Linked DNA regions of Oryzias latipes. The protein of the gene in region 2 purifies or fractionates together with the protein of the main gene of each other region. This does not show direct contact. Links are inferred from orthologs where the notes say so. Each region holds a gene or a part of one and is shown on either strand. Other genes may lie near its edges.

Region 1 (16,384 bases), about 1.1 Mb from region 2:
TAGCAGCATCAGCGGAGCTAGACCGCCGGCTGACCAGCTAAACGCAAACGCCGAGGTGACACCTTCTTAGCTAACTAGCCAATTAGCATGAAACAGCATCGAGAGATCGTTTTCAACCGACAGCTGACCCGCACAATGCACCGACCGCCAGCATAGCAGGTTCACCTCATATGGCTCCGTCTGACTGGAGGAGAAATGCTGCGTTCAGGGCCCCGGGAAACTCCCCTACCCGAACCCGCTTAAACTTTAAAACATCAAATTTTGAGCCTCATGTAGAATAGAATTTACAATTATATTTTTAAAGTCATTTTAATAGATAATCTATATATGGTGGTAACACTGTCAAAGAATACTAAAATAAATCATGTCAGAGCCGTCAATGAACGCATGACAGTTTTGTTCCAGGAACTTGATGAGGCTTTTTCTACCGAAAAGCCTCGATGGGTTTTGAACTCAAAAATCCCTGAAAGGCCCCATGCTAGGTTCTCTACAACAATAAAGCTTACCAAATGTTGATGGCTGCCTCTGCAGACAGTTTTTCTACTGATTTTAAGAAAAACAAAGAAAATGTATTTAAATACCATTACTGTTTGATCCGAGTCTGTTGGAAATGGCATTAAATAAACCACAAAAGACGTGATTTGCATCCAAGTTTATTTTGAAATTCCCATCTCCCCCTGTACAAGAAAAAAATGACTTTTCACAAAGGCAGCAGTGAACTGTCAGTGATAGTACTTTTCTAGGGAAGGAAAAAAAAAACGTAATCACAGTGTCTCTTTTCTTCTTTTAAATATTTCTACTGCTGTCATCTTTGGCTAGGTTTCCGGTTGACAGCTGTCTGTCAAACCCAATTCCTGTGAAGCGAAGGTTTAAGCCAATAGAGCAAAACTATGGACTTTAAATTTAATAATGCCTATGCAGGAATGTTCTGGACCATATAACTCTTCATTAACAACAAAAGAAACAAAAATAAGAATAAAAGTTGAAATAAGAATAAGCAGTCTGTGTTTACAACACAAATGAATATCACTGCCTGGGGAGACAGCATGTCGAATTTCATAAAATTGTTTGGACAAAAAATAAATCTACAAAAATGGAGCTAGGTAAATATTACACAACAGTAAACATGTTCTTTTTTTTCCTTTTTTTCTTTTCTTTTAAATGCTTTTCAGTTCACCTCTACACAAAACCAAAATTCTTGGTCTTAATGGCTAGCAGGAGTTTCTGTTTGAGGATCTGTTTAGAAGAGTAGAGTGGCACGTAGAGACGGGAGATGCAGGTGTTGGCGGTGGGGAGGTGCTGGTCGTCTGGGGGCCGGATTGTGATGGAGGGCATGGGCTGGAAGCCTTCCTCACTCGCTGGCAGAGATGGGCTGGAGGTCCAGAAGTACACCTGAGGAGAGCAAACGCAATCATCAACACATGTTTCCCATTTTACTTTTCTTTTTTTCTATTAAGATTTTTAACAAACGCAGAGAAGAAAACAATCAGATTTAAAAAAACCTTGTATTTCCAATTTTGTAAATGAATGTAAATCAAGACATTTTTTATTTGGAGGTGCAAACATTCAAATTCGCTCAAACTTTAAACATTTATTTGAGTTTGTACTTTAATATTTTATAATACTTTGCTTTGTTTTTGTCAAATTTACAGCGAAGCTGAATACACCATCAGAAAGAGAGTAATCCATGAAAAATCCCTTTTTAAATACATGTTTCATCCAATTCTTTTGATCAGATTTGTTTTAAGGACAAAGATCGTCTTCCGAGTGTCTCTTATTGCACCATCTGGTTTCTGCTTTTAAACATCCACAGGGTTTAAATAAAAACAGCCCTTTGATTATTCCAGTCAAATAGATAGACTTACCAGGTCTTGCCTCTCAGTCATACTCATCTTTTCCACTATCGACCAAAACCATCGTTTGAACTGGAGCAGTTTGTCTGCATTCTCCCCTGTGAGACAGACAGGGTTTTAGATAAAGATCTAGAACAGCTCATGTTTTTATTACAGGTGGATGTTGACCTCAGAGCAACCAACCTGATTCATCGTTGAAAGAAGTGAAGCTGATCAGCATCTGGACATTGACTTCTCCACAGCCGTTCACCAGCAGCCTGAAGTCCTCGGCTGTCAGGTCCTCCAGAGCGTTTTTAGGAAGTACGTCCAGCAAACCCTTCCTCATCGCCTGTGAAAAATCGGAATCTAAATCAGCCTTTGTTCTGCCGACAGCCGTTCCACACAGAAGAAGGGAACTCACATGGAGCGGCTGCTCGGCCACCACCAGCATCCTGTGCTCTGCGTACCGCCTCACATACTCATAGACGTTGAGAGGAGTCACTGGCATGTTGACTCCACCAGATACCAGCTCCACCTGGAAAAAGAAAAACATTTTTAATCTGAGTTCAGGACAGATTCTCCAACATTTAGACCTGGAGCAGCAGAGAACCAAGAATCTGCACTTAGATTACAAAAACCTTCTTCCAGGCGTGTCCGAAGTCCGGCCGAAATTCAAATTTTCACCGGACCGCGAGCTCATGTCAATAAGCCGCGGTACTTTCTAAGAACTGTGTGTTCAACTGCTTGATTGTGATTGGCTGAAAACAAAGGCAGCTGCTTCCAGGACAAGTGGAAATTGGCTTTTTTGAAACAAAATAAATTGAAACGAAAAACAACTTTGTCTGCCTGAAACCGTGGCTGTTTTTACAGAGTTTAATATCAAGAAGCATTACCAGACAAGACATGGCAACTCTGACAAACTGGGACGGAATGGTGCGGAAAATTGAAGCAACTGGAAAGTGTTTTACGACACAGCAGCGTTTTTCACAAGAACCCGCGAGTCAAATAAAAAAATGCCACAAAAGTGAGCTACGTAGCAGTGTAGGGAAAAATCTAGTCAGCGATATATTTCATTTGGCGACATTTCTATCGATTTAAAATTCTGAAAAAACAATATTTATTTTCCAATTTATTTATTTTTGAGCGTCCTTCAGCAGCTGACTCTTTTTTCCTCTGAAACCCCGACCACTAGTTTGCAGCAGAGAACACTGAGCTTCTTTGAGCAGCTCTACACCACACAAAACAACAACAAGATCTCAGTGAAGCAGCTTGTTTTGTTGTTATGTGACATGAACTACTTCTTTTTTATGTAGGATGGGTACAGAATCAGTACTCTGAGCCATGTTGCTGCTAGTATCATAAAAACGTGGATTGCGGCGCTTTTTAGCTCAGATAAGAACCAGTGAAGCACTGCAGCTGTGCAGAGGCTAATGCTCAGAACATCAGTCAAAATACTGTCGGCAAAGCGGGCCAAAGTTCTGCAGAACCTCCCAGCAATAGATTGTAGTCCAGCGACCTGATGGATCAGAGTGATGTGTACAACGCTCTGGAAAAAGGCCAACGTCATGGCGATGGTGTGCGAGAAAGCTGAGCTGCAGCTGCAGAGCAGACTGTCATGGAAATAAAGCATCTTTGCCACATGAAAGCGTCTCCTTCATCTGTCATGCTGCTGCATCATCATCATCATAACACTTTATTGATGTTTTTCCCCTTTATTCTTTAAGCACCATTCTTGGTCCTAAACCATTGAAAAGTACTGGAGAAGCTACATTTAGCAATATTGAAAATAAACAGCACTTTAATTCCTCCTTCAGGCTTTTAGAACCGTATTGGTTAAGTCACATTTATCCTATTTTTTTTTCTTATACTGAAAAATATTTTGTTCCCTTTAAGAAACCAAAATAAAATAAAAGCACCATGACTTTTCTTGGATTAAAGCAAATTATATATGAGATACAGTTGCAGTGCTTAACATTGTGATCATTAAATAAAATACATTTTTATCATTTTATTACAATGAAAGGCATCTTAATAATCAGGTAGAGTTTTTTCTAAGTCATACTCTAAAAAAGAAAAAGAATGTGTTTTCCGATACAATATCGGGATACGTATCGTATCGCCAGACTCTTGCCGATACGCACCCCTAGAGCTACGAGGTAGAAGCACAAAGATCTGCAAACCTTTAGCCGATGGGGAATTTATTTAAGACTGTGATAAAAAGGATTTGAGAACATTTGTCTTGAGAAGAAGCAGGAGTTTGCTAATGTTTGCCTGGAACACTGTGGTCCGGAGACTTGAAGACATTTCATCTGATATTAAGAGACAGCTGGAGGTTTTTTCCACTAGCCTGTGATGAAAGCACAGACGCGTCCCACACCGTTCCTTTTTTGAGAGGAGTGCGCCCCGATGACGCTCCAGGCGGAGCTCATGGGGCTGCAGTGTGACGTTGTCAACCTTTACCGCCAGCTGGATGAAGGCAGATGCGAACATTCGCTAAGAAAATGCTGAGTTTGTTTGTCTCCACATAGTTGTGCGAGAGAAGACAATTCAACAAGAACCGCATGAGGACGGGACTAAGAGACTCTTTAGTCCTGAGCATTAAAACCACCGTTTTGAGCCAGATCCAGCCTTTTTGCCACCGTCAAGTAATATGTTCAGTCTTCTGTGGTGAATGAATTCTAAGATTGTAGGGTTAATTTGTGTGTTTGTACTGTGTTAAATTTTCCTATTGAAACAGTTTAAATGTTTAATAGTGAATAAAACGTTATATTTTTATATGAACCCAGATTTAATGTTGATCAGTTTTTATGTTCCAGACAGACTTTTTCTTCATTTTGTTTTTAGTCTTCAAATGTGGAATTCAGTCATTTTGGTTCAAATGTATTTAGATGCGTTTGTGTTCTATATGAAGAAATTAAAACACCACGGCAGTAAAATAAACTGATCATTTGCATTTACCGTAATTTCCGGACTATAAGCCGCTACTTTTTTCCTGCATTTACAGCCTTGCGGCTTATTCAGTGACGCGGCTAATTTATGGTTTTAATTGGCGGCCGCCATGTACGTACTTTCGGACTCAGTGAATGGTTAGAATTCTCTATCTAACACCAAGCGCAAGTCAACACACCTCTTAGCAGCCAAACAGCATGGACCTCACTTCAGGTCTTAGACACTTCAGTCATGGTTCAACATAACGAAACACGCATGCCCGGCCGCATCCCAGAATCCTTTGGTGCCATTAGACCCAACGTGCACGTGATCGCCACTACAATATGATGCAGCTTTCAAGTTAAAAGCAGCGTGAAAAAATCCACCATCACCAATGGGTTTGGAAAAGCCGGTCAGCTGCGTGACGGAGAGAACAGCGCATGGAGGGAATTTACCTCTGAGTCATGGTGACTCGGCTGGCTGCACGTAAATATGTGGCAATAACATCAGCCTTTATTTGGTCGGGACACGACTGTAAACACAAATTGACGTGGTCGTGTTAACGGTTTCTAAGGACTGAGCGGAGTTTTGCATTGAAACGCTCACAGCCTCCGTGTGAGCTGGAGACTGCGTGTCGTGTGAGCTGCGGGGCCGATGGCAGTCTGAAGGCTCCCACACGTAACAACGCATCCGCCCCTCATACACAAAACGTACAGTTTTAAGTCCGATTGCTCTGCACAGACACGATTTGCTCCGTTCACCGGCGCAATGGGGACGAAGCGCCCCTCCCTGTAGCCGCGCTGGCCAGAGCTGTCGGAGTAGATAGGAAGGGGAGACAAGGAGTGCGCGGGAGCGCAGAGGCGTCCGCGGACCAACAGTGTTTGTTGTGGAAGGAAACTTCTGACCCACGCGCCGCGAGGAGGCGCGCGTATCGCGCTGAGGCGCGCGCTTTTCAGTCGTCGCTGCTTTATTTTACTAGCGTGTTATTTAACCAGCCCTGTTACTCCCAAAACGCTGCCGCGACACAAGCGGAAGGAGAGCTGTACCCGTTCACCCCTCCATGCACTGCTGCTCCTTGCTCATTCTTAAACACGCACAACAGAATGGCGAGCCGGGCATTGGCCCTGCCTTTAGCCCCTAAGACTCATGGGAAATGGGGGATTGCGGATGTAAATTTCCTCATCATAACTGAGGGATGTAATGTTGATTATATGGTTACTGTTTGTAATTTTATGTGTGATAGCTAGATTGTCAATAAGTAAAAAAAAAAAAAAAGAATGAAATAAAAACACCATAACTGAGGAACTTGTGAACAGAATACAGGTCCATGCTGTTTGGCAGCTGTAGATATACTCAAATACATGAGCCTGAGGCAAAGCTGACTCCACCCACTGTGTGCTAATGAATCACACTCACTCTGGGAGTCAGGACGTAATTTGTCAGGATGACAATGTTGCCTAATACATGCGGCTTGTACTCCGACGCGGCTTGTGTATGTATAAAATAGGTTAAACACGTGAAAATGGGAGGGTGCGGCTAGTAATTGGGTGCGCTTTGTAGTCCGGAATTTACGGTAATCTTATTACCGTAAATTAGTTCAAGAATGCAGGCCGAATGGTTGGCCCTCACTAAATCTGGTCTTCTTTGCAAAAGGTTTGGACACCCTGCCTCATGCTGTCAAGATTCAACTAAAAGGAGATGTGTTGTTGGAGAAAAGTACTCGAGTAAAAGTCTGAAATGATTCTCACAACTACTCGAAGGAAAAGCTCCTTTGTCTGACATTTAATGAGAAGGTTAGTTTTTTAAGAATATGATTCCAATCTTTTTAGCATCAAGTCTACCCGACTCAAACCTGCTTCCATTTGTGTATTCAAAACAACTTTTTTAAGGAATTGAACCCAGCGGTCTAACATTTCGGAATTACAGAAAAATGAAACTTTAAATTGATAAATAATATGAGAATGGAACTTGGATGGATATTAGTCCTGATGAGAATCTAAGCAGACCTAATTGGGTGGTCTTTCTGGAGCACTAAACGGACACTCTCACCTGTCCAGCTCCTTCTTCTTTACACAGATCAATGGCAAAGGCCAGATCCATGGCAGCAAAAACTGCATCGGCTTCACCGGTCTGGGAATGGCGTATGAGCTGCCGCAGGCTCTCATACATGACAGGGTCAAAGAAGGCAAAGTCATGCCAGTTCACCTGCAGGAAGAAGAAAACATGACGTAGCAGTTCCTGAGTGGAGCTGCATACACAATCAAGCTAACACTCTCCTACCTTTCTGCCAAGAAGCACTTTAATGACGTGTCTGTTCAATGTGATTGGACAGAGTTCATTCTGCAGCAGGCATAACCCCAGTATTCTGCGAGGACACAGCATTATTGAGCTCGTTTTCACTTTTTTATGCCACACATCAACTGTCACGACCCGTTCACGTCTTTTACCTGCCAATATTACGAAAACAGTTAAGTCTGGCCTCTGTGTTCTTTCCAGGCCGAGGGGAGTAGAAGCCCCGTTTGCCGGGCTGGTAGAAGAGCGGCGCGTTGTCGTCCCCGTCATCTGGGTCATCGAGCTCCATGTCAACCACGCTACGTGTAGAACCATGACGTTTACGGTTCTCCTGTTGCTGGAACCATCAAAGAGATAAAAACAAGATTCGATATTAGAGTCTTTCAGAAAGATTATTAAAAAGGGTTCACTTTAAAAAAAAATTGCCCAAGCTGAGAAGCAAAAACTAGTCATCCACACAAATACTTGAGCAAAAAGTAACTGATGACAAAGGTAGTTAAGTAGAAAGTTTCCATGGTAAATTCCCGTTCACCATTCGTGGTCTCGCTGTTTCACAGACTTTTTTTTTTTTGCCAAATCTATAAATTAAATACTCTACTATAAATTTTACATTTCCAGGGAAAAAAGTTGGTGTCAATGCTGAAATGTAAGATTTAAAACAAAAACTGCCAAAGTTTTAGCTAAAATAGCTGCAGATAAGGAAGAATGAGCAAAAAAAGAAAAGCTTTGTAAGCTAAGTGCTCATTAGCTTAGAAAACGCACAAAAGAGCCAAACAAACCAGTTTAATGCCAACAATACATCACACTTGATAAAGCAATGAGAATGAAGAAATTAGCTTAACGAGCTAGCTTACGGCTGTCAAAGAAAGCCAAGTCCTAAATCAGTTCAAAATAAAACGGTGTTCTCTAAACATTGTAAACAAATGCATTTGTTCTGCATCAACAGTACGATGTGAATAAAAGCTGGATTTTGCTAAAGATGGCTGGCCATCCCTGCTCCTCAAGAGCCTCAAAGACTCCTGGTTTCCAGCTCTCTCTGGACTGCTGCGTGCTGAAAACCTAAACCAGGTGTGTTTAGTCAATCAGGAAAGATGGTCACGGAGAGCTGGAAACCAGGCAGGACTGTGGCGTTGGAGGACCAGGGTTGGATGGAGGCAGATGATTCTCTGTGGCGATAACTAAAGGGCGAAACCGAGAGGTGAGGAAGCAGCTATCTTGATTCATTTGGTCAAAGCTGAAACACCAGTACATCCTATTAACCCCTGCTCTGCAATACATGTAAAAAACACATGCCTGTTCTAGACCAGTGTTTTTCAACCAGTGTTGAAATTGCCCTCATTCACTGATCTAAAAACATTTACCATAGGGTTGGGCGATGTCCCCTAATTTGGCCGTTGACGATGTTTGCTGTCAACCATCGGGATGGACGATGACATCGTCCGGGGGGGGGGGGTATTTTTTCGTTCTTATATAACTGCTATTCGTTATTTTGCTTTTTTCATTTTATTTCCCAACTAATGGTTAATCCGCGATGATCCAGTATAAACTGAGGGAAGTGACTTTAACGGAAAAAGTAACAAACAAAATAGAAAAGAAGTAGTCCGCTCCCGCACTTAGCGGAGTGGACCGGCGGAGTGCGGATTTACAGCTTTGTGTTTGATGGGAAGGGGGGGGGGGGGGGGTACATGAGCGGTATGTGTGGGAGATTTAGGACTGCGATCCGTCCCGCAGCTCTAGGGGTACTAGCTACCGAACTCAGAACCGGGTCTAAACGTGTGTCTGAGCACAGCACGGATCGTCAGCACACACAGCGGTTTGAGCTTCAAAGCAGAAATGTCGCTCAGTCCTTAGAAAACATTCAATCACGTGGATTTGTGTTTCCAGTCGTGTCCCGACTAAATAAAGGCTGATGTTATTCACAGGATGCACTGCCACCCAAAGCTAATGTTGTTAGCCCGTGTTAGCATACTGCTAATCCTGGCTTCGTTCAGATAAAGAACTGACCACACGGATTAAAATTCAAATGATGAGCAAACAGGTGTTTCATAATAACCGTAACATTATTAAAAGCATGTTTAGAAGATCATCTCGTATTTTACCGAGCTGACATGTCAATATATATAGCCGCTCGGCGCTGTTATCGTTTTGTATTGAATTGTCATATTCAATAAAGTTTGGAAAAAAAGCCGCTCGGCGGAAGTTGTATCCCCTTCCGGTTTTCAAACTGCGCATGTGCGAATACTGCGCATGTGCGAATGATTTATTCCGACCGAAATTGTGACCTTAGTGAACGTTTTTATATTCTGAAAACATTTTTCTGGGCCCATCTACACGGTTGGATTCTAATCCGACCATTGATCCCATCAAGATATTTTGTACATGTAACCGCGGCTTATGGTGTCGACGCGCAACGTGGCGGGGGCGTGGCATCACGATGGTGGTCTCTCCATCGGGATGTCAGTCACCCATCACGATGGACGATGATATCGTCCATCGGCACAACCCTAATTTACCATCTCCAGGATATCAGCTCTTTGTTCATCCAAACAGGCCATGATAAAACACTGAGAAGTTAGGAACATGAAAGATCATAAAATTATTTTTTCTTTGTGTTTATTTGATTCTATTAAAGACATTTTGATAAGAATGACGGTACCGCGATTTGGCTGCAGCTAAAGCTCTGTTTAAGGAAAAGTCCCGCCCCTTTAACTGTCTCCTTCTTGAAGGCTTAATCATACGTCATCGGTCTGACCAATCAGAAGTGGTTAAAGTCTCCACTTCCTTGTTCCAATTTAGCTCATAAAGTCTCTCCGTTCCAACAAAAATACCAGCTAAAGCTCGTCTTTAGCGGTGTAGCTTTCCACAGAATCCGATATCAGACCCGGGAACAAGTGAACAAAACATTGAAGCTCAGAGACGCTAGTCTTTCTGCCCTTTTGCGGCAGTTTTCACACTACATCTCCCATGATGCATTGGGTTAAAGGGACAGCGTCTTAGCGTACGATGAGTCGTCCTTAAACGTCTTGAAACCACAACAAACACACATCAAACCGTTTTTGAATTTTCTAACTTAACTTTTATTTCATCTTTTAGAAAAAACAGCCTGCTTTTTCTGCAACAGTTATCACAAAAATGATCTTGAGATTGCGGGGGGGGGGGCTGTCGATCAATACAGACCGAGTTTTTTTTTGTTTGGATGCTGGTGTGCCGCGGGGTCTTTGTCAAGGTTAAAGTGTGCCGTGGCTCAAAAAAGGTTGAAAAACACTGTTCTGGACTTCTATTAAAAACTGGATTAGTGTTTAAAAAGTGAAGAGACAGTTAAAAGAGGAGTATTTGCGGCAGCGTACTTCCATTGAAAATCTCAATTTGAACTCTTTGATTTGTGATCAGTATTTAAAGTTTAAAATTAGGGCTGGGAGATAAAACCATTATATTTATCGCAAAATAGCTTTATCTCAATGGAAAAATGAGTCTATTACGATAGCCAGTAATTAAAACGAGCATTTTAGCAAATGAGTCATGTTTATTTACTCTCCTTTTGGTGAATGGTTTTGTTCTGTCCTCCTCCACCGTCTACACGTGAGTTAAACAAACCCATGCAACTTGAGAGACGCCCCATCCAGAAAAAATAAATAAAGGAAAAGCTCATAGTCTGTATTGATCTACAGTCCCTCTACAATCTCACGTGCATTTTTGTGATAATTGTGACAGAAAAATCTGGAAGCTGCAGCTGTTTTTCTAAAAGATGTAATAAAAGTTAAGTTAAAAGATTTAATAACTGATGTGTGTTCGTTGTTGTTTTAAACGTTAAGAGGAGAGACTCATTGTGCGCTAAGACACCGTCACTTTAACCCAATGCATCATGGGAGATGTAGTGCTGAAAATCCGCCGACCGCAGAAAGACGAGCGTCTCTGAGCTTCATTGTTTTGTTCACTTGTTCCACGGTCTGATACCAGATTCTGTGGAAAGCTACACCGCTAAAGACGAGCTTTAGCTGGTATTTTTGTTAGAACTGAGAGACTTATGAGCAGAATCAGAACAAGGAAGTGAAGACTTTAACCACTTCTGATTGGTCAGACTGGTGACGTATGATTAGGCCTCCAAGAATGATTGGTGGAGACAGTTAAAGGGGCGGGACTTTTCCGAAATCAGAGTTTAAGCTGCGGCTAAATCACGGTACTGTTATTCTTATCAAAATGTCTTTAATAGAATCAAATAAACACAAAGAAAAAAGTATTTTACGATCTTTCATATCCCTAACTTCTCAGTGTTTTATCAGGGCCTGTTTGGATGAACAAAGAGCTGATTTCCTGGAGATGGAAAATGTTTTTAGATCAGTGAATGGGTAATTTCCCACGGCACACCTGACCATCTCTCGTTGAAAAACACTGGTCAAAACTACCAGCAGAAATGCTGATAATCTGCTTTTAGTTCCTGGATTATTCACAGGATGCTGACAAAACTGTTTCTCAATTTTATGCTCGTCATGGAAAACTTGAAAACAGAATTTATCTGTGGTTTTAATGTTTTGTTTTTAAATAGATCTGATCAAACAGTTTAGTGTTCTCTTTTATTTATGTTCTCTTGAAACTTAGTTTGTAAAATAAATTCCTTTTCTTAGATATCTGAAACAAAACGTGCATTATGTTCCATCAGTGCATCTGTTTGTTTAAAGTGTGATAGATAATAAATATTTCAATCTAAACAACCTGCTGATGATTACACATTACTATTATTTAGTTAGTATTAAAGTGTTCAAATCTGACAAATATAGTTATTGGGATTCCATCGTGATACCGGTATCGCCTGATATGGAAAAAGCTATATCAGGATAAAAAAATGCTCTATTCAAAAGTATTTTCACAACAGCCTAAATTTAGACCAAAAGCTGAACAAAATCATGGCTAAATTCTTTCCACACCTGAAAATACTTCGGTGTGGTGTGAAGTAGAGTATTCTGACTTACGTGTACTTTCTCTCTAAAAGTTCCTTCAGTAAATGTAACTTATTACTAGCCCTATAAGAATCAGGCAAACTAATCTAAACCTTTAAAAAAGTGAAGACGTGTGAACCTGAGCTTTCTCTGGAGCCTCGGGGAGTCCCAGATCCAGAATGCTGTCTGCACCATTTTCCCTGAGGAGGACACACAGTGTGAAAATGCTGAGACAAGGCAGAGATTTAAAATCATTTCTTTACCACCTAATTTATCATCCTTATGTTTATCAACTTTACAACTTTCAGTTTAAGTCACTAAGCCACAAATCTTTTTGTTCATAAACTCTGGTATAAAAATAAAAATACTCAAAAAATATTTAATATTATTATATTTAGCAAAGAATGAAATTAATCAAGAGCTTTAAAAAACAGATTTCTACTTCTTAGAGACCCACTCCAAAGAATGTGGTTTTTTTAACATGTTCTTGTACCATTTTTCTGACAATGGAGGAGATATTTGAAGTAAGTTAAGTACAAAATTACATTTCTGAGTTTTTTTTCACTCAAATCATTGTGAAACAGGAGCACACAAATGAATGCAGTTAGAAAAAGATCATATTTGTTTGATAGAAAACACTGAGCGGGCCACGAGCTTCCTGCTCCGCTCAGGAATAGGGAGGGGAAGGGGGTGTGGCAGCTACACCGCAAAGGCCCCGCCCACATTTCAGAGATGAATTTCAAATCAACTCTTGCCGCTCTGCAGAAACCTTGTCCTTAAAAACGACTTAAAAAAAAAAAAAAAACTTGCTAAAAACTCACTTTGAAAATAGATCCATAGATGACTGGAGTGGGACTTTGAAGCCATCACTCATTTAGATCGCCAGTTTCAAATTAAAAGCAGATCCGGTAGTTTTAACCTCTTGAGAAGTGAGCTAATATTAGAGCTAACCCTCCGCACACGTAGTCACAAAGCCCACGTTGAAGTACAGTTGTAGTGATTTAGCCCAAAATGTGATGTTCACACACTTTGTGTCCTAAGGTCAGCCAGCTAAGCTAAACATTTACATAAATTCATCCAGAGGTTCATCAGTTTTTTTTTAAAGGTGGGTTAAAGGTCAAGTGTATAAACAGTTACGGCATGCTTAAAAAGGAGGCTTTTGCAAATGTTTTTTTTTCTTTTGTCATCATGACGCTGTAACTACTCAGTAGAAATACTTTTGATTTGTGAACTTAAAAAAGTGCAGAACGTCTGGAATTTTATCGTAGTTCAACCAAACGAAAGGTATTTTTGGAGTGAGAGTCAACATACCTTCCATGCGCGATGAGAAGCTCCATGGCCTCTTCCACTCTGGCTCTGAGAGAGTCCTCACTGGCCAGTAGCAGCAGCAGCTGAGCCGGAGACAGCTCCAGCAGCATGCCGGTAATTTTACTGGCAAACGCCTGAGAAGACAAAAACAATGTCCCCTTGTTTTTGATCAGTTCATTGATTCTCAATAAGTATTTCAATGTGAAGATCAGCACGTGGAATCATAGCTTGTCAAAGCCCTGCCATTCCAAATGCTCATTACCGGCTGCATGGTGTGAACTCTGGGGTACAGCCTTTCCCCCAGAGCCTGTCTGTGTGCTGGAAGAGGGTCGGGCTCATCACTGGGGTTTCCTTCAGACGAAGGCCTGAACGGCCTGGTATCTATAGAGAGTTGCCTCCTGGAGTCCCTGGATCCATCAACAAGTTTGAATTAGCATCGGGGTTTTTCCTTCTGACACCACAGGCGCAGTGCTTACCTGTCTCGGTCCCTCCGCGATCCCGCTCGAAGCCCTCCACTTCTCCTCTCCCTCTCCCTGTCTCGGTTCCTCAGGCGTTGCATGAGGTCTGGTGGAACGAGTCAAACGCAGCAAGTTCATTTGAAGTTGCTCTTTAACCAAAGACATATTTTCAAAAACAGCTGCAACTGTTTTCAACACAAGTGCAACACCAAAACAAAGCAACACAATCACGTTCCACAATGTGCAGTAGTTTCTATGTGTAGTCATACTTGAATTGTAATCGTGATGACACGTACTGCTGGCCTGCATGCCCTTGCTGACACTCTGAACACAGTCCAGGTTGGGTAGCTTGTCGTTGGACAGGAGTGCCAGCGCGATAGCCGTGTAGAAGCTGCGGGCCACGCCGCTGCCCTCTCCGGGCTCGTCTTTGAAGGTGACCTTCACCCGGTGGACGGCCATAGGCGTTGTTGTGCACCGCCTGCCAAAGTGCGCATTGAGCTGACGCATGGTCTGCTGGATTAACTGGTCTCGATCACGGTCCACCTCCAGGGCCAGGTCACGCGACTGCAGGTTCCTCAACTTCTCCATCTCCCGCCGGAACTTGGACTCCTTCACCTCAAAGCCGCCGAGTTCAGTTAGAATCTGACATGGATGAGAACACGACCATCTCCATTTGAATGGGTCAAACGCGTACTGCACCATTTTTGTGTCACACGAACTCCCCAACATGCAGAAATGATTTATAGCAAACTCTGAAGCTAAACTTACAGATCCAGGCTCAGCTCCGACGTCCTCCATGAAGACCCGACCAAACAGCTCCAACGACAGACGCCAGCGGCCCAGTAACATATCGTGAGATATCATCATCCCCATGAAACTACAGTGAGGTCTGGACACACAAAGGAGAACCAACATTATCATGCTGAACACTATTCAGTAAGCTGTGAAGACAGACTGTCAGGAGGATGCAGAGTAGAACAGGATCATCTTCTACATTCCAGCTTGGTGATCGATGCTCACCTGAAGGACGGCAGCGGAGGACCGTCGCTCTCAGTGAGGCCGATCTCAGCGAGCAGGCTGCTCTTCAGCTGGGCTGCGAGGTCATGAGGCGAAGGCCCAGGTTTAGAAGCCTCCAGCTCCTGCTCCCCCAGTGACTGGTTCTCAGCGCTCCTCTGTCTGGTTTCCATGTTCATGACGTTCTTCAGGTTGGCGGAATACGACATTTTGGTAGGGAGGATCTGATGGAGCAGAGTGTTTTGATGTAATGTCATTCGTTTTCTCCTCAGGATGCTGTAAAAACGACTGAAAAGAAACTGAAAATGGAACAAAGACCAGCAGCTTCTGATGTCCTAACTAAAGCCAGTGCACACAAAGCTCTGCCAAAAAGTTCTGTCTTAATTTACACATGTCCTGATTGTTGTGCACAGAGTGCTTATGCCAGCATGTGTGTCCAGTGAAAATGAGTAGTATACCTGGGAGGGGGAGGGTAGAGAGGAGCCCATGTTTACCTCCAGGCAGTTTCTGTCCATGCTTCCATCAGCCAGGCCTTTGGTTGCCATGTAAGAGGACGAATACAAGCCCTGAGAGGGGCGTCCAAACAGGTCCTCCTTTCTGGCATTAGGCTGTGGAAGAAATGTTTGAAATACGTTTCACACCAATGGGAATATTTACATACTATTGAGTCCAGTTAGTGACTGGGGGCTTTGCCTGTCTGCTAAAAAATGACGCTTAAAATGAAAACCGGACTATCCTCACGTAGCTTCCTTTTTTTAGATTTTTGTTTGTGCCATCTTTATTCCTCTGAGAATTTGTGTGCGAGTAGAAAAAGGTAAAGCACAGAGTAGTGAATAAATTTTTGAATTGGGGAATTACAATTTCATACAGTAACTAAGGCAAAGTAGTCAATTACTCTTTAAAAGGTAATTTACCCAACACTGGATATTAATACCGATACAGTCCCAGACAAAAAAATCCAGCAGAAGGTTAAAAAATGAAACAAACATGGAGCAGACTAAAACGGGTTGAGATGTGATTTCTTCTGATCATTATCAAGTGTGGGTATTCTTGAGATTCCAGTCTGAGCAGCAATGCGGCTCCCATGACTCAATCTACAGCATTTCACAAATTCTAACTGGTTGCTAAAAGATTTCAACAAAATTTTTTAGTTTGGATCAAAAAGGTGCTGGTAAAGTTAGCGAAAGCTGTTCTCAAAAGCGCTAACAATGTTCTGCCATCGACCGATGTTTTTCAAATCAGACCTGCAGCAGATGGGGCTGGTCTGCCAGCGGAATGGCCTCTGCCAGAGGGACGTCGAAAGGGTTGGGAGGGATGCAGCCTAAGAAGGTCATGGAGTCAGAGCGGCGGAAGAACGGGTGGTTTTGACCCATCTCAGCTGGAACCGACTCCTCATCCTTGTCCTGCAAGGTTGAACCTAAAAGATCAAAAGGTTTAGTTGACAAAAACACACAAACTATACTCTGTAGCTAACACGGTTACAGATCTACTCATTTCTATGGTATGCAGGGAACTCTGAAGTAAAAGTTTGCTGCCTGTGAGTGAAGAAACTGCAGCATACTTTTCATTCATTTAGTACCTCGCAGCAAATAATCCATGGATGCAGGAAATTAGCTGC
Region 2 (15,642 bases):
ACCCTGATGACGTTCTTCTGAAAACATGAACTCAAGCTGATATTAAAGGATTAGAACGGTAGCTAAAGGAAAACTAAACAGCCGTCAAAAAATCTTTTGGAAAAGGTAAGTGAACTGTACAAAACAGGAGAAAGAAACAAGAAGATATCCAATGAACTGATAACGCCAGTAAGCAGTGGACAAACTTTGATGAAGAAGTGGAACATGAGTCCTTTCCTGTCCTGTCCTTTCCTTTTCTTTCCTTTCTGGATCATGGCTCAGGATCCAGAAATGTCAGTGCAGCAGTGGGTGAAGGATGCCCAGAAACTCTGAGACCGCATGTGCACATACACTGATTACAAACAAACGAGTCTCTGGTGAGGATAGTTACCTTTAGGTGTCATTCAAATCCTTTTGTATCGCCTTGTGTTCATGTTTTCAGAAGAAAGTCGTCAGGGTGAGTAAACTTTTGAACCTGGTCGTATTGGACATTTCTGTTGTCATTATGATTTAAAAAGGGTAAACAGAATTTTTGGACAATAATTGGCTTCACCCAATCACTATGAGTGGAAACAAAGTTTTTCATATTCTATGAAAAATGACCAAGAAATCCTTTCTTCCAGGGTAAGTAAACTTATGAGCACATCTGTATGCGTGTGGGTGTTTACAAGTGGAGCCACTAGGTTTTTCTTGTAGCGACGCAGCAGCCGGTAAGCTGTGTGTCTCTTGGCAGACCATAAAGTTTACATCTGGCATCGCCGCAGCGAACTTCCCATCGCAGAGCTGACCGGCCACACTCGCACCGTCAACTGTGTGAGCTGGAACCCCATCCTGCCCGGTCTGCTGGCCAGCGCCTCTGATGACGGCACCGTCAGAATCTGGGGCCCCGCCCCCTTCCTGGATGTGGAGGAGGTGGAGGGCTTCGGCAATGCGAGCGTGAACATCAGTGAGTGCAGTCGGAGTGAGTGTGTTTGTAGAGGTGAGCAGGTCACTGCAGGTCGTTTCCCAGACTCCAGTATTTTGTTTGGTTCTGGTCCAAAATTTGCTTGTTTTGTTGGATGTAAAGAGATGGATTCAAAGAGATGTTGGCCATGGACATGACGATAGAAAAAAAAAAAGCAAGCACAAGAGGGCGCAATCCTGTGTCTTAGTGCTCCAGCCTGAATTTCCAGGTAAATGCATTGAGGTGTCAGTGTGAGCATCTTTTAGCAAATTAAGACAAATCAAACATTAACATTACTATCTTGACTTTCATAGCAGACCAGCTATGACTCCAAACAAATAACAGCCAACATCAGAGGCTAAAATCTCTGACTTCTACAGAAAAATAAACAGCTATTACTCAGTCATTCTATTTGTCAGAATAACCAGTCTTGCTCTACTACCCTTTTTTAACTAAACCCTTGATAATCCTCATTAATTCATCACATTTATTTCAAGTTGTTCAAGTTATAAACAAGCCGATTCGATGCCTTCCTGGTTGTCCCATGAAACGACAGATTTAGTTTAGCCTGTGTTTAAGTTTCATTTCATCCAATGTGATCATATTGTTCCCAAGTGAATCTCTGACGTTTTCCAGACCAAAACAACAACCTGTGTTTTATCTGAATTTCGGAAAAGAACATTTGTTGGTTGGACAGCTTCAGCTAGTGATGAGGGGGAAACAAACAAAGAAAGAAAGAAAGAAAGAAAGAAAGAAAGAAAGAGGTACTTGGGGTAACCAAACTCACATGCTATTTATGAGAAACGATTCCTTCCCAGTGTGAATTTAAAAAGTATTCTATATATTTAGGTAATACTTTGTTTTACGTTCCGTCTCTGAACCAATTATGAACGTTCTTTGTCGTGTGAGCATGATCACCCTCTCATATGAGTCAGTAGAAATGCTAAGCAATAGATATATGATATGTTGGCAGCTTTTCTGCCAGCAGAGCAAAGCCATGTCATAAATCAACTCTCTTTCCAACAGCATTTTTTCGTCTGCTCCCAGTTCACAGTTTGAATAAAGAAATATTAAGAAATGCTATCTTAAGATGAACTTTCTTCATACATGTCCTCCATTATGAGAAAAAGCCACAAGAACATGTAAAAAAAGCAACAACACAAACACAGTTTTCATCAGAGTGGGCCTTCAAGGTTTAATATTTTTTTGTTGAAAGAGACGATGCAGCCTGGCTCCTGCTTTATCCTATCAATACTGAAATGATGGTTCTGTTGACCATCTATGATGATAGATCCTTTGTTAATTGCAAATCTTCTCTGTTAGTTCCTGCACTGTGTGAACATCTGCTCACTGGGTTTCCATGGAGACATCATTCATTCCTTCTAACATTTGTGTTTGGCTCTGATGCTTGAAGTGAACGTTCTGAATACGCTTCTTTCTGCCTACCCAGACTGCTGCAGTATGGACAGCTGATGACCCCCCCCCCACCCCCCACACACACACCCACCCACCACCTCTGCCCCGCCCGCATGGAGGCTGTGGAGAGACTCTGGTAATCTGCTGATTGGACAACTGCTCGGCTTCAGCGTGCGACAGAGATGACTGTGTTCGGCTGGTGAAGCTGACCCACCCTCCTGTTGTCAGAACCCTGCAGGACCAACCCCCCCCCCTTATTTATTCTTATTTGGTATTTATTGACCTGTGTTGGCTGACAGAACCAGCCCAGTACTGTGTTCTCGGTTTATTTGTTCCCTGACTGCTTCCTGAAGATTGTCTGCATCTTGTTGGCCGTCTGATGAACCGTCAGAATCATGGGGGGGGGGGGGGGGGGGGGGGGGGGGGGGGGGGTCACCTTTTTTTTTTAATGCTGAAAAGATTTGCAGCTTTTAACCCTCAACCCTCTACTCTCCTTTACCAGATGGGGAGGGGGGTGTTTGTGATCTCTGTTAGAAGTGTTTTAGCTGCAGAATTCACTGACAGTTTCAGACCCCCCCCCCATAAGAGGAGAGGGGGCAGTTTGCAGGGACCATGTGGATGATGCATGTTAAACCCCCCCCTCTCTCTCACGCTCCCCCACCCCCCACCCCAGGCGCTTTAGACCCATTTTCTGCCTTCAAGAAACTCTGCGTTTTGATTGGCTGTTTTGGAAAGCTGTGTCTTCTCAATAAAGTTTTGGAGCTAACCTGAACCGCATGCTGCGTTCAATGCACCGGGAACATGAGTCCCTCAGAAGATGCTCCAACACACACACAGGTTCAACTCTGTGCTGCTGCCTGCAGGAAGGGGGGGCTATGCGGACACACTCCCAGCAACCTTGAGGAAGATGTGAAGTTCATCATGACCATCCGAGGATGGAGCTGCAGCTCCTCCATTCCTACCCCGTCTCTGACGTGGTCGAAACCATGTTTGGGAAGTGTCCAGATGTGCCACGAAGAGGCTTCAGTCAATGATCTCCTGGAGCCTCACATAGCGGACAGCCGCCATGAAAACGGTCATTTCATTTGAGTGAAAAGTTCATGTGTGTCATTTTTGTTTCAATTCAGACTCCGTGTACTAAAAAGTTTAACCCTTGTGCTATCTTAGATGACCCCACCCTTACATTGACGTGTTCTCCCTACCATGACAAAGGTGGATAAAGGTGGAAAGATTTCATGTAATCCATGGACACCAGTGAAGATCATAAATCATTGAAGAAAAAAGGTTCAGAGCACTGTCTAGTGGGTCTAGATGACCCATCTCCCAATGGTAAAGTGCCTAGGATAGCACAAGGGTTAAGGTTCAGAATCAGAATCTCCGTCTGGGTTAGCTCCACACTTGGACCAGAATTCTTGGATCTCCTGATTCTTGCCTCAGAATCCAAAGTTCTCATGAACTGATGGAGGACATTTGAGCCCACACATCAAACCGCCACATCTGTGTCTGACTCAATCGTCTGTTAGTTTTAGTGCGGATGGAACAGACTCCCACCTTCCAGAAACTCCCTGTTCTGTCCCAGTTCACAGAATATTTGTCTAACAGTTTTGGATGTTTTTTTGTCAAAAAAGAGATGGGCTTTGGGTATTTTGGGCGGCGGGTCACTCCTGGCAAGGTTCTAAACTGTTCCAGGTTGTCCCCATGTGTGGAAAGTGGCTCTCACTGCAGCTCTGTGTGACCTTTTCAGAATCCAGCACGTCAGTGACTTGGTTTCTGTTCTGGGGTTTCTCTAATGACAATCTTGAACCCTTGTGCTATCCTAGGCACTTTACCATTGGGAGTTGGGTCATCTAGACCCACTAGACAGTGCACTGAACCTTTTTTCTTCAATGATTTGTGAACTTCACTGGTGTCCATGGATTACATGAAATCTTTCCACTTTTGTCATGGTAGGGAGAACACGTCAATGTAAGGGTGGGGTCATCTAAGATAGCACAAGGGTTAACCCTTGTGCTATCTTAGATGACAAAGTTGGACAAAGGTGGAAAGATTTCATGTAATCCATGGACTAGGGTGAGGTTCACAAAGCATTGAAGAAAAAAGGTTCAGCGCACTGTCTAGTGGGTCTAGATGACCCAACTCCCAATGGTAAAGTGCCTAGGATAGCACAAGGGTTACAGGTGTTTTTAGAGAATTTGGCAGTACAGCCAGCCAGCATCACAGCCGTAGATCAAGTGTAACCACATCAGCCCAGGATCTCCACATCCAGCATGTTCACCTCCAAGATCGCCTGAGACCAGCCACTCGAACAGCCGCTGGCACAAACTGCCAGAAACCATCTAGGGGAAGCTCATCAGCATGCTCGTCGTCCTCACGGGGGTCTCGACCCGACTCCTGTCATGTCTGACTTGAGTGTTTTCTTCACAGATATTTGAATCCTGGTTAACGCTATTCAGGGCAGAGAGCAGAGAACGTGTGTGAACGGTTTTCCGTTGTCAGTGTTGTGGATCAAGTGGCCCACGGTGGCGGTGGAGTTATGGTATGGGCAGACAGAAGTTAGTTATGGCATTGTGAATGTACAAAGTTACAGTGAAGAGATCCTGACACCCATTGTTGAGCCATACATCCAAGAATGCAGAAGCATGATAATGCATGACCCCATTTGCAAAGATCTGTAGACAATTCTTGGAGGCTGGTAACATCCCATCATACTGACCGGACATTGAGCATGTTTGGGATGTTCTGGATGCGGGCATACTAATATCCAGAAACTTCACAAAGCCATTGAAGAGGAGTGGACCAACATTACACAGGTCACAAACGACAACTCTGTTGACCCTTGTGCTATCTTAGATGACCCCAACCTTACATTGACGTGTTCTTCCTACCATGACAAAGTTGGATAAAGGTGGAAAGATTTCATTTAATCCATGGACACCAGTGAAGATCACAAATCTGAAAAAAAAACGTTCAGATGACCCTACTCCCAATATTAAAGTGCCTAGGACAGCACAAGGGTTACGGAGATGTGTAGCACTACATGAGGCAAATGGTGGTCGCACCAGACACTGACCGGTTTTCTGAGTCTCCAGAGCATAGGTTAACCCTTTCTATCCTAGGCACTTTACCATTGGGAGTTGGGTCATCTAGACCCACTAGACAGTGCTCTGAACCTTTTTTCTTCAATGATTTGTGAACTTCACTGGTGTCCATGGATTACATGAAATCTTTCCACCTTTGTCATGGTAGGGAGAACACGTCAATGTAAGGGTGGGGTCATCTAAGATAACACAAGGGTTAATGGAACTAAACAGGACATCTCAGATTGGCCATTCATTGTGACCCCTGTGCAAAAATCAAGCCGTCTAATCAGCATCTTTAATGCCACACCCGGAATTTGTCAGCAAAGGACAAGTGCTCACCGTCACAGATTTGTGATCAATATTTGAGGAAAATGGTTATTTTGTGTTTGTAGAAAATGTTTCAGATCTTTGAGTTCATTTCTTGACAAATTGGAGCAAAATCAAAAGTGTTAAGTTTATGTTTTTGCTAAGTGTGAGTAAAAACATGTTGCATTTATTCTTGTTGTCTGACAGTTATGAAATAAAGTTTTTGGATTTATTCATTGCAACTTACTGAAATGATGCAAACTGTGAAATTTGATACATTTATAAGCATTTGACTTTTTTTACATGATAAACATGCGGCTCATCTATAATCCTGAAAACCTTGTCTGTCTGCTAGAACATAGTCTTTAGAGCAACAAAGTTTGCTAAATAAAACTTAATTTTTTTGTCTTTTAGTTTCTCTTTACTGCGGATATTTTTTGGGTTAAAAAAGGAAATCCTTTTAAAGGTCCTTATGACACAGCAGACACTTTTGTATGGAAAGCATTTATTATAAAACATCTAAAACCAAATTATGAAGACTGTGATCAGTAAAAAGATGCTTGGAGAGCCTCTCATGGGATCTTCTCTGCACAGAGAGTCCTGGAGTTGAAGACAGCAGCCTGGACAGAGACAGAGCAGTTTCAGGATCAAACAGGTGATGGCGGATGTGCGCTGCCAGCGTACCTGTTTGTCCTCTGCAGACAGCACCCCCTGCACCGCCAGCAGCTGATACTGTTTGTGCTTCAGGCTGCTGGGGAACTTCCTGATGTGGCGAATCGCCACGGAAACCGCATCAGTGCTTAGTGACAGCTTCGATCCGGGATCCATAACGAGAAGGGCCAGGGCGCCGCTTTTCCTCTGCTCCACGCCGACAACCAAGCGGCTGTGACCTGCAGACAGAGCAGGAAGCTGAAGGGATGGAACCACTAATCAGACAAATTAACCCAAATATAGCACCAAAGTGGACACACCGAAACTCCTCAATTAATTCGAGAAACCACGACGGCATCTCTTGCGATCACCGATGGCAACCGCGAGCAAAAGACGAAGACAGCCTGACCTGTAGACAACTAACTTTTCACACGGCAGCAGACGTGCTGACAGGAATTCCACAGTCAGAGTTGTTCTGATCTCCAGCCAACAGCTGTAATTACCCAATATGGGCATAAAGCCCCCACCCTAAAGTGTAAGAGCTCTGGTGAACATCAAACATCTCTGGTGTTCAGAGGAAAAAGACGCTAAAATAAAAGGTATGAACAACACTGTTACCATGGCAACCATGACTTCACAACTGAATTACCAAATGTGGTGACAAATTTTCAAAGGAGTTTTTTTTATGTAAATAAGCCTCTGCTGGAACACACTCCCCCATCCATTTACCTTGGTGCTGAAGGTAAAGTGGGGGCAGGCTGGTTCGGATGACCTTGGGGGGCAGTCTGTTGCTCTGGCTGGACTGAAGGAAGTACTGTCTGACCCAGTCAAACAGCCGGGGATGGGTGTCCCCGGGGCCCGTAGGCTGGTGGAAGTCAATGATGCGTGCTCTGGAGGTAAACACCGCGATGATGCTCATGAGCAACAATTCATTGCCTACACATGGAGCAAGAGCTGCCGTCCCACCTGACACCCAGCCAGGTGAGCAACACGTAGATCTCTGTGGCCCCGATCCAGGCCCGTGTTCCCTGCAGGCGGTGGTTGAAGTGGGATGCTCCTTGTGGATCCACACCTGCTTTCCAGGCCTCTTCTATCATTCTCTGGACCTGTGGGATAGAAGGAACTGCCTTTTCTGGCCGAGCAAAAAGACATCAGTGGATTTGGAGAAACTCAACAATAACATTAATATTTATTAGCACACATGAAAACCTCAGTTTATTGGTTTAGGTTGTCAGTTATGTGCTTTCTCTCATTTAGGAAATGTTATCTTAAGGCTACGTGACGTCACTCAGCCACTGTGTACATTTTCCACGTATGAAATTTTAGTCTTGCGTGATTTACGGAATTCAAAAGTGTTTCTTGTGTTAGTTATCTGTCGATGTGCTCAGATGTCTGTCGAGGGTTTAGGATCTTTACATGATTTCCGGACTTTTAGTCTATTGAGAATTATGCAGGTTATGCATGTTTTACGTAGTTTATCCGCAATTGTTATGTAAATCTTATGCAATTGTGTGTGGTTTTTGGGATACACAAATTTGTGGCTATGTCTAACAGACTTTTAACGCATGAACCACCGATGTATAACTTTTATCTCCCGTATACGGCGTACGTTTCGCATTCAAATTACGTAACTGACGCACAAATCACAGCCCAATAATCACACACGGTTCATGTTCTGTGTCAATTTATGTGTTCTCTGCATGGTCTGTTCGTACTTCTTCCGTGGTTTTAATTTGTGATGCATGTTGTGAGGCTTTGGGACAGAAATGTGAAGGGGAGTCACGGTCCAACCTCCACTGTTCCTGCACCATGACAGTCAGGACATCAAAGGCGACTCGCACCTTGAAGTGAAGAGGCGTAGGGCTCAGTTCTGTGCAGGGAGGACAGCAGCATTTGGAAGTTTCTGTAGCCGCAGCCCCAGCCTTTGTCTCCTGCCGATGCGCCAAAGTGGTCGGTGTCGGAACAGAGCCACACGTGGGCGCAGTCACAGGCCGGGGTCCGATAATACTCCGTCAAGGCATCGACTGCACCTGCACATACAGCGTCCCACAGTTCAGTCATGTGACCCGCACCATCAATCTTATAACCTGATACATTGACTGTATAGAAGAACTGGACTGTGTGAGTGTGATGTCACCATAGAAAAAGACGTACTTCTGGCTCCAACCAAATGAGTCAATTCAGTGGCCATTTTTTCACAATAAGTAAAGTTATTAGTGAAGAAAGAGGATTATCAAGAACACATTAAGACAAAGGTAGCAGAGCAGGAATGGCTCTTCAGTCCAGTTTGAACATGGATCATGTGCATTAGGCTGGGGAACTTGTAATGGTTGCCACTACAAATCAGTTTCTGATTATGACCTGAAACTGGAAAAACTTGTGGATTTATTTAACAGGTTTTTTGTCAATGAACTTTTGAGGTCACATGTTGTATTTGTCGTCACCCCATTGGTTGAACGGGACCAGCTGACAGGTGACAGGCTGACACACCTTTTTTTTTTTTTAAATGAGATGCGGGAGCGCGGTAAAAAGAAAGAATGCACAACTGACAGCGGACCAGGAGCACAAAGGAGCTAGCGATCTCGTATGATGGATTATCTTTCCCAGCTCAGATTATTCTCCTCATAATTTTGATGGAGTATATTTTCCCAAGAGCTCAGATCGACCAGCAGCTTCATTGACGGTCGGAATGCGTTCCAGCGAGTGAGGCGGAGGTCTCCCACTAAACATGTCAGACTGTTGAACACTCATTTTCTTCCAGAACATTTCCTTTTTGTTAGCAAGACTGCGGGACTTGGGTTTGAATTTTGGGTTCTGCATATATTGTGGATTTTAGGAAATCTGTTTTTTGGTGTTTGAGTGTTGGGCGAAGTGTTTAATCCGTGTAAGTTTATAATTTGTCACGCTCACACAATAGAGGGCTGCACAAACAAGCGGTTACATGAGTTTTTCTTAATATTAGAGGGCAGATTGACTTAATATTTGATGCCCCAGACATCGAGGGGCGAGGGGCGTTGTGACGTTCCCCTCGCTGAGTGGAGGATGAATTGTTACAAACTGAGACCGTCATGGTCTGCATGATGGACTAAACAGCAAAAAGATCTTTCTGCATATGTCTGGAAAGGTCTGTGCCGTTTCTGCCACGGAGGGAGCTCCGTCTCACACATCTAAAGCCGTGGTGAGATGCTTCTCCTTTCCAAATGAAATGTCGTCCCTGGAGAGGGTTTCTGGAGAAGCCCCTCGTCCCCAAACACATACGGCTAAACACAGGAGCGTACCGCAGGTTCTGGATCTGCCGTCATCAACGCCCGAGGTCAGAGACTCCATCAAGTCAGCCTTTTTACGGTGAAAGTCTGCGGGTGCCAGCCGGCCACGAGAAACCTCCCTTTCCATGGTCCTCTCCATCTGCCGGCGGTAGCCCCCTGACCCGTCCAAACCATAGCGCCTCTGGGGAGTCAGCAGAACCAGAGACTGAAACTGAAAGCCCAAACTGTGACACGATTGCTGCAGTGCAACAGATCAACACAGGATCATCTGGATGGTCTTCGAAGGAGACAGGAAACAGAGAATTTGCTTGGTTTTATAAAATAGGACGCTCCATGTAGACTTTAAATCAACCGTGCTCAAAGAAGCTGTAGCTTTTACTTGATTTCCGTGATGCTGCAAGCAAAGACTACAGGCATCAGCCTGCAGGGGGTTGCATGTTCATGTGTCATAAAGCCAGAAATTAGGAAAAGATCAGATCCAGGGAGGAAATCTCCAGGACATAAAAAGGAATCATCCATGTTATCTATCTTACCCAGAGGTCGGCAGCAGCCAAATAGAAAATGCCCACATCTCCCTCTTCAGGCCAGCGGTAGGGATGCAACAACCTGCTTTCCTCATAGTTCAAACCTCAATTTTTAGGTCATGGTTTTGTTTTGCTTTGATTTGTGTTTTACAAAACAACAACAACAAAATCAGAAAAATACTTTTAATTTGCCAATAAGCAAGTAACTATGAAGTAAAAACTTTCTTACACTAAGGCCTGGTGTATCCTAATTAAATAAATAAATAGTAAATCCCGCTAAAAAAAATGTGCACAACTTGTGTTTAACATTTTCAACATAAACACACGCACTATTCACATTCCCCACGGCTCAGTTTTAAATCAAGAATTGAGGCATCCCTAGTCTTCAGCATGTCCCGGTGCTTTCCTGGGGCCTCCTTCAACTAGGATGTACAAGCAGTGACTCCATTCTGAGATCCTTCCAGGTGACAGAGCTCCTCCCCCTCTCTCCAGGGGGAGCGCCATCTAGGGTTGCGCCGATGGACGATACCATCGTCCATCGTGATGGGTGACTGACATCCCGATGGAGAGACACCATCGTGATGCCACGCCCCCGCCACGCTGCGAGTAGACACCATAAGCCGCGGTTACATGTGCAAAATATCTTGATGGGATCAATGGTCGGATTAGAATCCAACCGTGTACATGGCACAGAAAAATGTTTTCAGAATATAACAAACGTTCACATGGCTCACACTTTCGGTCGGAAAAATTCCTTCGCACATGCGCAGTAGGGTTTGAAAAACCGGAATGACTGAGGATATGACTTCCGCCGAGCGGCTATATACGTTGACATGTCAGCTCCGTAATAAGTGAGACGATCTTCTAAACGTGCTTTTAGTAATGTTACGATTATTATGAAGCGCCTGTTCGCCTGTTTTAATTGTAATCCGTGTGGTCATTGCTTTTTCTGTTGAAGAGCGGAGCCGGAAAGAAGCCAGAATTAGCAGTATGCTAACACGGGCTAACAGCATTAGCTTGGGTGGTGCTGCAATCTGCATCCTGGCTGCACGTAAACATGTGGGAATAACATCAGCCTTTATTTAGTCGGGACACGACTGGAAACACAAATCCACGTGATTGTTTGAACGGTTTCTAAGGACTGAGCGACATTTCTGCTTTGAGGCTCACACCGCCGCTGTGTGTGTGTGTGTGTGCTGATGATCAGAGCTGTGCTCAGACACACACTTTAGACCCGGTTCTGAGTCCGCAAGGGATTTTGTTTTTGGCGGGGGGGGGGTGTTTGCAGTTAATAACCGCAACACCGCGCCCCCTGCTGGTTCATCACCGCGGTGATCAAAAATCCGTGAACCAAAGGTCCAGAGGCTTGGTTCTGCATAAGTCACCTGCAGCTTCTTGAAGTGCTCCGCCTCCTGCCTCGCCTCTTCCCTCCTCCTGTGTTGTTCCTCTTCCTGCTGCAGCTGGACCGCCAGGCTTAGATCAGAGCTGGAGCGTCCTGGAGACAAATGCAGATTTGCTAAAGGTTCAGGGACCAATCAAACTCACACAGGTATCACAGTAATGACAGAAATGCACCTGTGCAGGGGTCCAGGTGCAGCTCCACATGTTCCTGCAGCGCAGCACTGTCGGCGCATTCAGCTGAGCACATGGGACACTCCCACGGCCTCCGTCCTGCAAACAGATGCAGAGCCCTGAGCTGCTTCTGTAGGGGCGTGGCCAACACTAAGTTAACGATATCCGTGCATTACAAAGATTTATATTTTGAATATGTATAAGCAGGAGAGACAGAATTCTCGTTTGTAGGAGATAAATACTTATTTCTGTCAGTCTTTAAAGTGGATTTTAGTTCTAAGAACAACCAGGAATCCTGTGATAAGATTATGAGATAAGAAAGCTCGGTTTGTGAACCAGGGAACCCAGGGCTTGTTAATATACAGTGAAGTTTAAACAGTAAAAGCTTCTATGTCTGAAAAAAAAAAGGTTGGAATTAGCCCTGCACAGTAAACCCCAGATTTATCGTTATTGCCATATCAAGCTGTGCAATACGCATATTGCGAAATTCGGCGACAATTGTACTAAATGGTTAAATGTTCTTTAACGAGTCATTTAACCAATTGGATGAAGCCCTTTGTGTTAGATGCTCGCCTCCTATGTAGATGAGGGTCATTTGGAGTAGGATTTAAGTTATGTTGACTCTTATATAAAACAATTCCAGTGAAACTGAAATTATGTTTTTGGTTGTTTTGCTGTTTGTTCATGTATCGCAAGTTATTTTGTCATCGCAATATTGATCACTACTATAGCAAATTGCGAGTATTCCTCATATCGTGCAGCCCTACTTGGAATTATTTTTTGCCAGCAACAGGCAGACAAAATGAAGGAATCTGAAATGGGAGAAATAGGATTTGTTTGGCCATTTTTATTGAAAACCTTTAATGCAGAATTTGGGGGTGGCTTTTTGGTGAAATTGTAGAACAATAACAATCAGGAATTCAGTATCTTGAAGCAACACATGCAGGAACAAGTTTCTCTGTGCTATCCTGACGACAAATGTTCCTGATTCTTTCGTATTACAGAAATAAAAAGGGGGACATTTTAGAAACGTTTATTCCCGCTATATGAATGACTTATCTGAGGGTTATGACCCAAGCCTTTTTCAAAAAGTAGAACTGGAGACTGAATGGGATTTTACTGCAATCAAGGGAATCCAACATTCAAGCCTTTAACTCTTTAGTACATACATGAAGCCTGGTATACTGGGAGACATATCCTGGTTTTTAAGACAAGTATTAGCTGAGAATCATCAGCATAACGTTAAACTTCTGCCAGAATGTGTTGCCTAAAGAAAGCATGTAAACTTTTAACAGGAATGGACCAAACACACTCAGGTGTGAGAAAGTTTCCTTATTTACAAAAAAACTCTAAATGCTTACTTAACTCTAAATCTTAGATAAAACCCAAGAGAACGTTTTTGTTCCTATGGTCACATCATTGATTTGTAACGCTTTTCTAAAGAATTTCAAAAATGAAAATGGAATGTTTTAGCTGTTCTTTTATATTTATTTCCATTAAGAGACAACAATTGTCAGAGCTAGAGGACAAAAGTGACGAGAAAGCAACAATTATTTCTGAAGGTGGATGGGAGGTTGACCTGCAATTCTCTCTCTAAAGAAGCTCTTAAAGTCGTCCCCACTGATATTCAAAGAAACACATGGCTCCAAAGGACAGTGACATTCAGTCTGACTACAGACATAAACCCTGCAGCTCTGTTCGGATTAAATCATTATGGATAATAGAGGTCTTCCTGTAAATAAACAGAATATTTGTATCTAAGGAGCCGGGCAGCTTCCTCTCCTCTCTTTAATAAGAGGAGCTCATTTAAGCTCAATCTTGTCTCAGGATGATTCTGAACACCTCAGAGATCTAACATGGTTGGTGGACGCTCTGAGTCAGAACTGCTTGGTGGGAAATAGAAACAGTACTTGTGGGACACACTGAACAGCTCCATGTTGCTACATTGTTTTCAGCATGGCAAGAAAATCTTCAAACATGGTGGGTTAGCTGCTCAGAACAGACCTTTTTCTGGGTGCTGCTCCTCCAAATGCAGCTCCACGTGTTCCTGCAAAACCAAGGGGCTCGTGCACACCAGCGCACACATGGGGCAGGACAGGTTGGGTTCTCCTGAGTGCTCCAACATTTGAAATGTACCAGGACGTCCTCCTGAACTCCACAGCTGTCGGGCCTGGTTCCTGTCAGACTCCTGTGAGGTTTCTGGTTCCTCTGCAGACAAAGTTGCAGAGAGGGGTCCAGCATGCTCCGGATCTGGTGGGATTTCTTGCTCCTGAGGTTTTAAGTTCACCAAAGTAGAGGCTCTGATGGATTTCTCTTTTTCAGCTGGAGTACCAGCAGGCTGACCCATTGGGACTTTACTGGTACTGGTTCTGGCAAAAGTGCTGTTGAGAGGTTTCGGGTGGTTGTGCTGCTCCTCAGGATGTGCCGTTGACATGTGAGCGTGGAGCTGATCGTAGGACACGGCGGACAGGAAGCAGAGGGGGCAGTGCAGGTCGGCCTCCAGATGGACGAGCAGCAGGTGTGTCTTCATGTCCTCCTCCAGGAGAAGCTCCTCCCCACACACCTCACACGTCAGCATGATCGTCACACACAGGCCTGAAAACACAACATGGCAGTACCGTGACAACAGCACCAGCAGCACAAGAACAACATCATGCAATGGAAAAACTAGGGACGCAAAAGATAGAGATACACAAAATCAACCAAGCACAGAGAGAAAAAGCAGTATCGGTTAGGGATGTAAAAGAGAGATGCATTTGAAAGAAATTAAAACAATTATTGAGTAACAGCAGTATTGGCTGAAAACCCATGTTGGTAAAAAGGTATAACAATCAGTCGGAAAGTAAATATTCAGTTTTTGGCCAACTTTGTCAGTCTTTGTGTCTCACTGTCTTTTTCTCCATATGTAATGCATCAAAAAGACGTCCAAACACAAAATTACTTCCACCAAGTCAGGTCAATCCCAATTGGCTGGAGGTGAACCACAGTGTGAAAGGGGTTGGGTTTACTAAACATATAACACAACTTCAAACAATACCTGAATAAACAAATATGACAAACTTTTATTAACCACAAAGAACAAAAGCATCGAAAAGACACGAAATACAGATTTGAATGTTTGAGGCTGTTATGTCCTTCAGACATTTGGTTTTTGTTGCTTAAAGGCACAATTTATCCTTGACAAAAATCCAGCGGCACACCAGCATCCAAAAAAAAAAGAAAAAAAAAGGAGAAACTCATAGTCTGTATTGATGTACAGTCCCTCCACAATCTCACGTGCATTTTTGTGAAAATTGCGGCAGAAAAAGCTGGAAGTTGCAGCTCTTTTTTCTAAAAGATGTAATAAAAGTTAAGTTAGTTTTCAGTAATAATTTTCAACTAAATTATCTGACATTTTACCCTGGTAGTTGTTTTCCCCTTCAGTTTATTAATATGCAACTTTAGGTAACCTCACAAAAAAACAAATATATTCTTTCTAAATTGTGATTTCTTTTTTAAATATTTTTTTAAATGTTGGTGCAAAGGCAACTATAATTTTTGAACAATATGATCGATCACAAGATGTTTGATAAATTTTACACAAAAAAACATATTTGTTTTCTGTAGCTTCACAAAAACTGAACATGTTGAAGTTTTATTAGTTTTTCTTTTGTCTTAATCAGAGATAGTCTTTGAAAACTTGAACAAAAATGTTTTATTTCTTTTTAGATTATTAAATTGTTTCAATTTAGTTTAATGTGTATTTTGGCCACTTCACCTTAATCCTGCTTCTTAAATGTTGTTTTTATTTCTTGTTAAATTTAACATCTAAAATAATCCAGACGTTATTAGAAAAGTTTTTCAGTCAGAAAGATGACTTGGACCAAACTCTGGGATGTTTGGATGTTAATAAACACAAACCTTGA

Evidence for each region.
Region 1: the proteins of zufsp (region 2) and ubr5 purify together in Homo sapiens (affinity purification with mass spectrometry, with the first as the bait; 3 studies listed by BioGRID). This does not show direct contact. The link is inferred for Oryzias latipes from reciprocal best matches to the Homo sapiens genes ZUP1 and UBR5.

The regions. Positions count from the first base shown.
Region 1 is NC_019874.2:6,519,585-6,535,968, forward strand, and holds the end of ubr5 (E3 ubiquitin-protein ligase UBR5), read right to left. Parts: intron 16,184-16,384; coding exon 16,011-16,183; intron 15,375-16,010; coding exon 15,225-15,374; intron 14,991-15,224; coding exon 14,773-14,990; intron 14,642-14,772; coding exon 14,521-14,641; intron 14,395-14,520; coding exon 14,022-14,394; intron 13,859-14,021; coding exon 13,771-13,858; intron 13,702-13,770; coding exon 13,557-13,701; intron 13,429-13,556; coding exon 13,298-13,428; intron 12,187-13,297; coding exon 12,126-12,186; intron 7,390-12,125; coding exon 7,208-7,389; intron 7,126-7,207; coding exon 7,041-7,125; intron 6,966-7,040; coding exon 6,810-6,965; intron 2,368-6,809; coding exon 2,254-2,367; intron 2,182-2,253; coding exon 2,037-2,181; intron 1,952-2,036; coding exon 1,866-1,951; intron 1,393-1,865; coding exon 1,180-1,392; 3' UTR 638-1,179; downstream 1-637. UniProt on the Homo sapiens protein: E3 ubiquitin-protein ligase involved in different protein quality control pathways in the cytoplasm and nucleus. Mainly acts as a ubiquitin chain elongator that extends pre-ubiquitinated substrates.
Region 2 is NC_019874.2:5,459,267-5,474,908, forward strand, and holds the end of zufsp (zinc finger with UFM1-specific peptidase domain protein), read right to left. Parts: intron 14,333-15,642; 5' UTR 14,316-14,332; coding exon 13,742-14,315; intron 11,837-13,741; coding exon 11,741-11,836; intron 11,661-11,740; coding exon 11,551-11,660; intron 9,823-11,550; coding exon 9,654-9,822; intron 8,406-9,653; coding exon 8,217-8,405; intron 7,508-8,216; coding exon 7,342-7,507; intron 7,266-7,341; coding exon 7,105-7,265; intron 6,615-7,104; coding exon 6,409-6,614; intron 6,345-6,408; coding exon 6,297-6,344; 3' UTR 6,211-6,296; downstream 1-6,210. Other genes in the region: WD repeat-containing protein 26, read left to right, coding at 713-1,080. UniProt on the Homo sapiens protein: Deubiquitinase with endodeubiquitinase activity that specifically interacts with and cleaves 'Lys-63'-linked long polyubiquitin chains. Shows only weak activity against 'Lys-11' and 'Lys-48'-linked chains.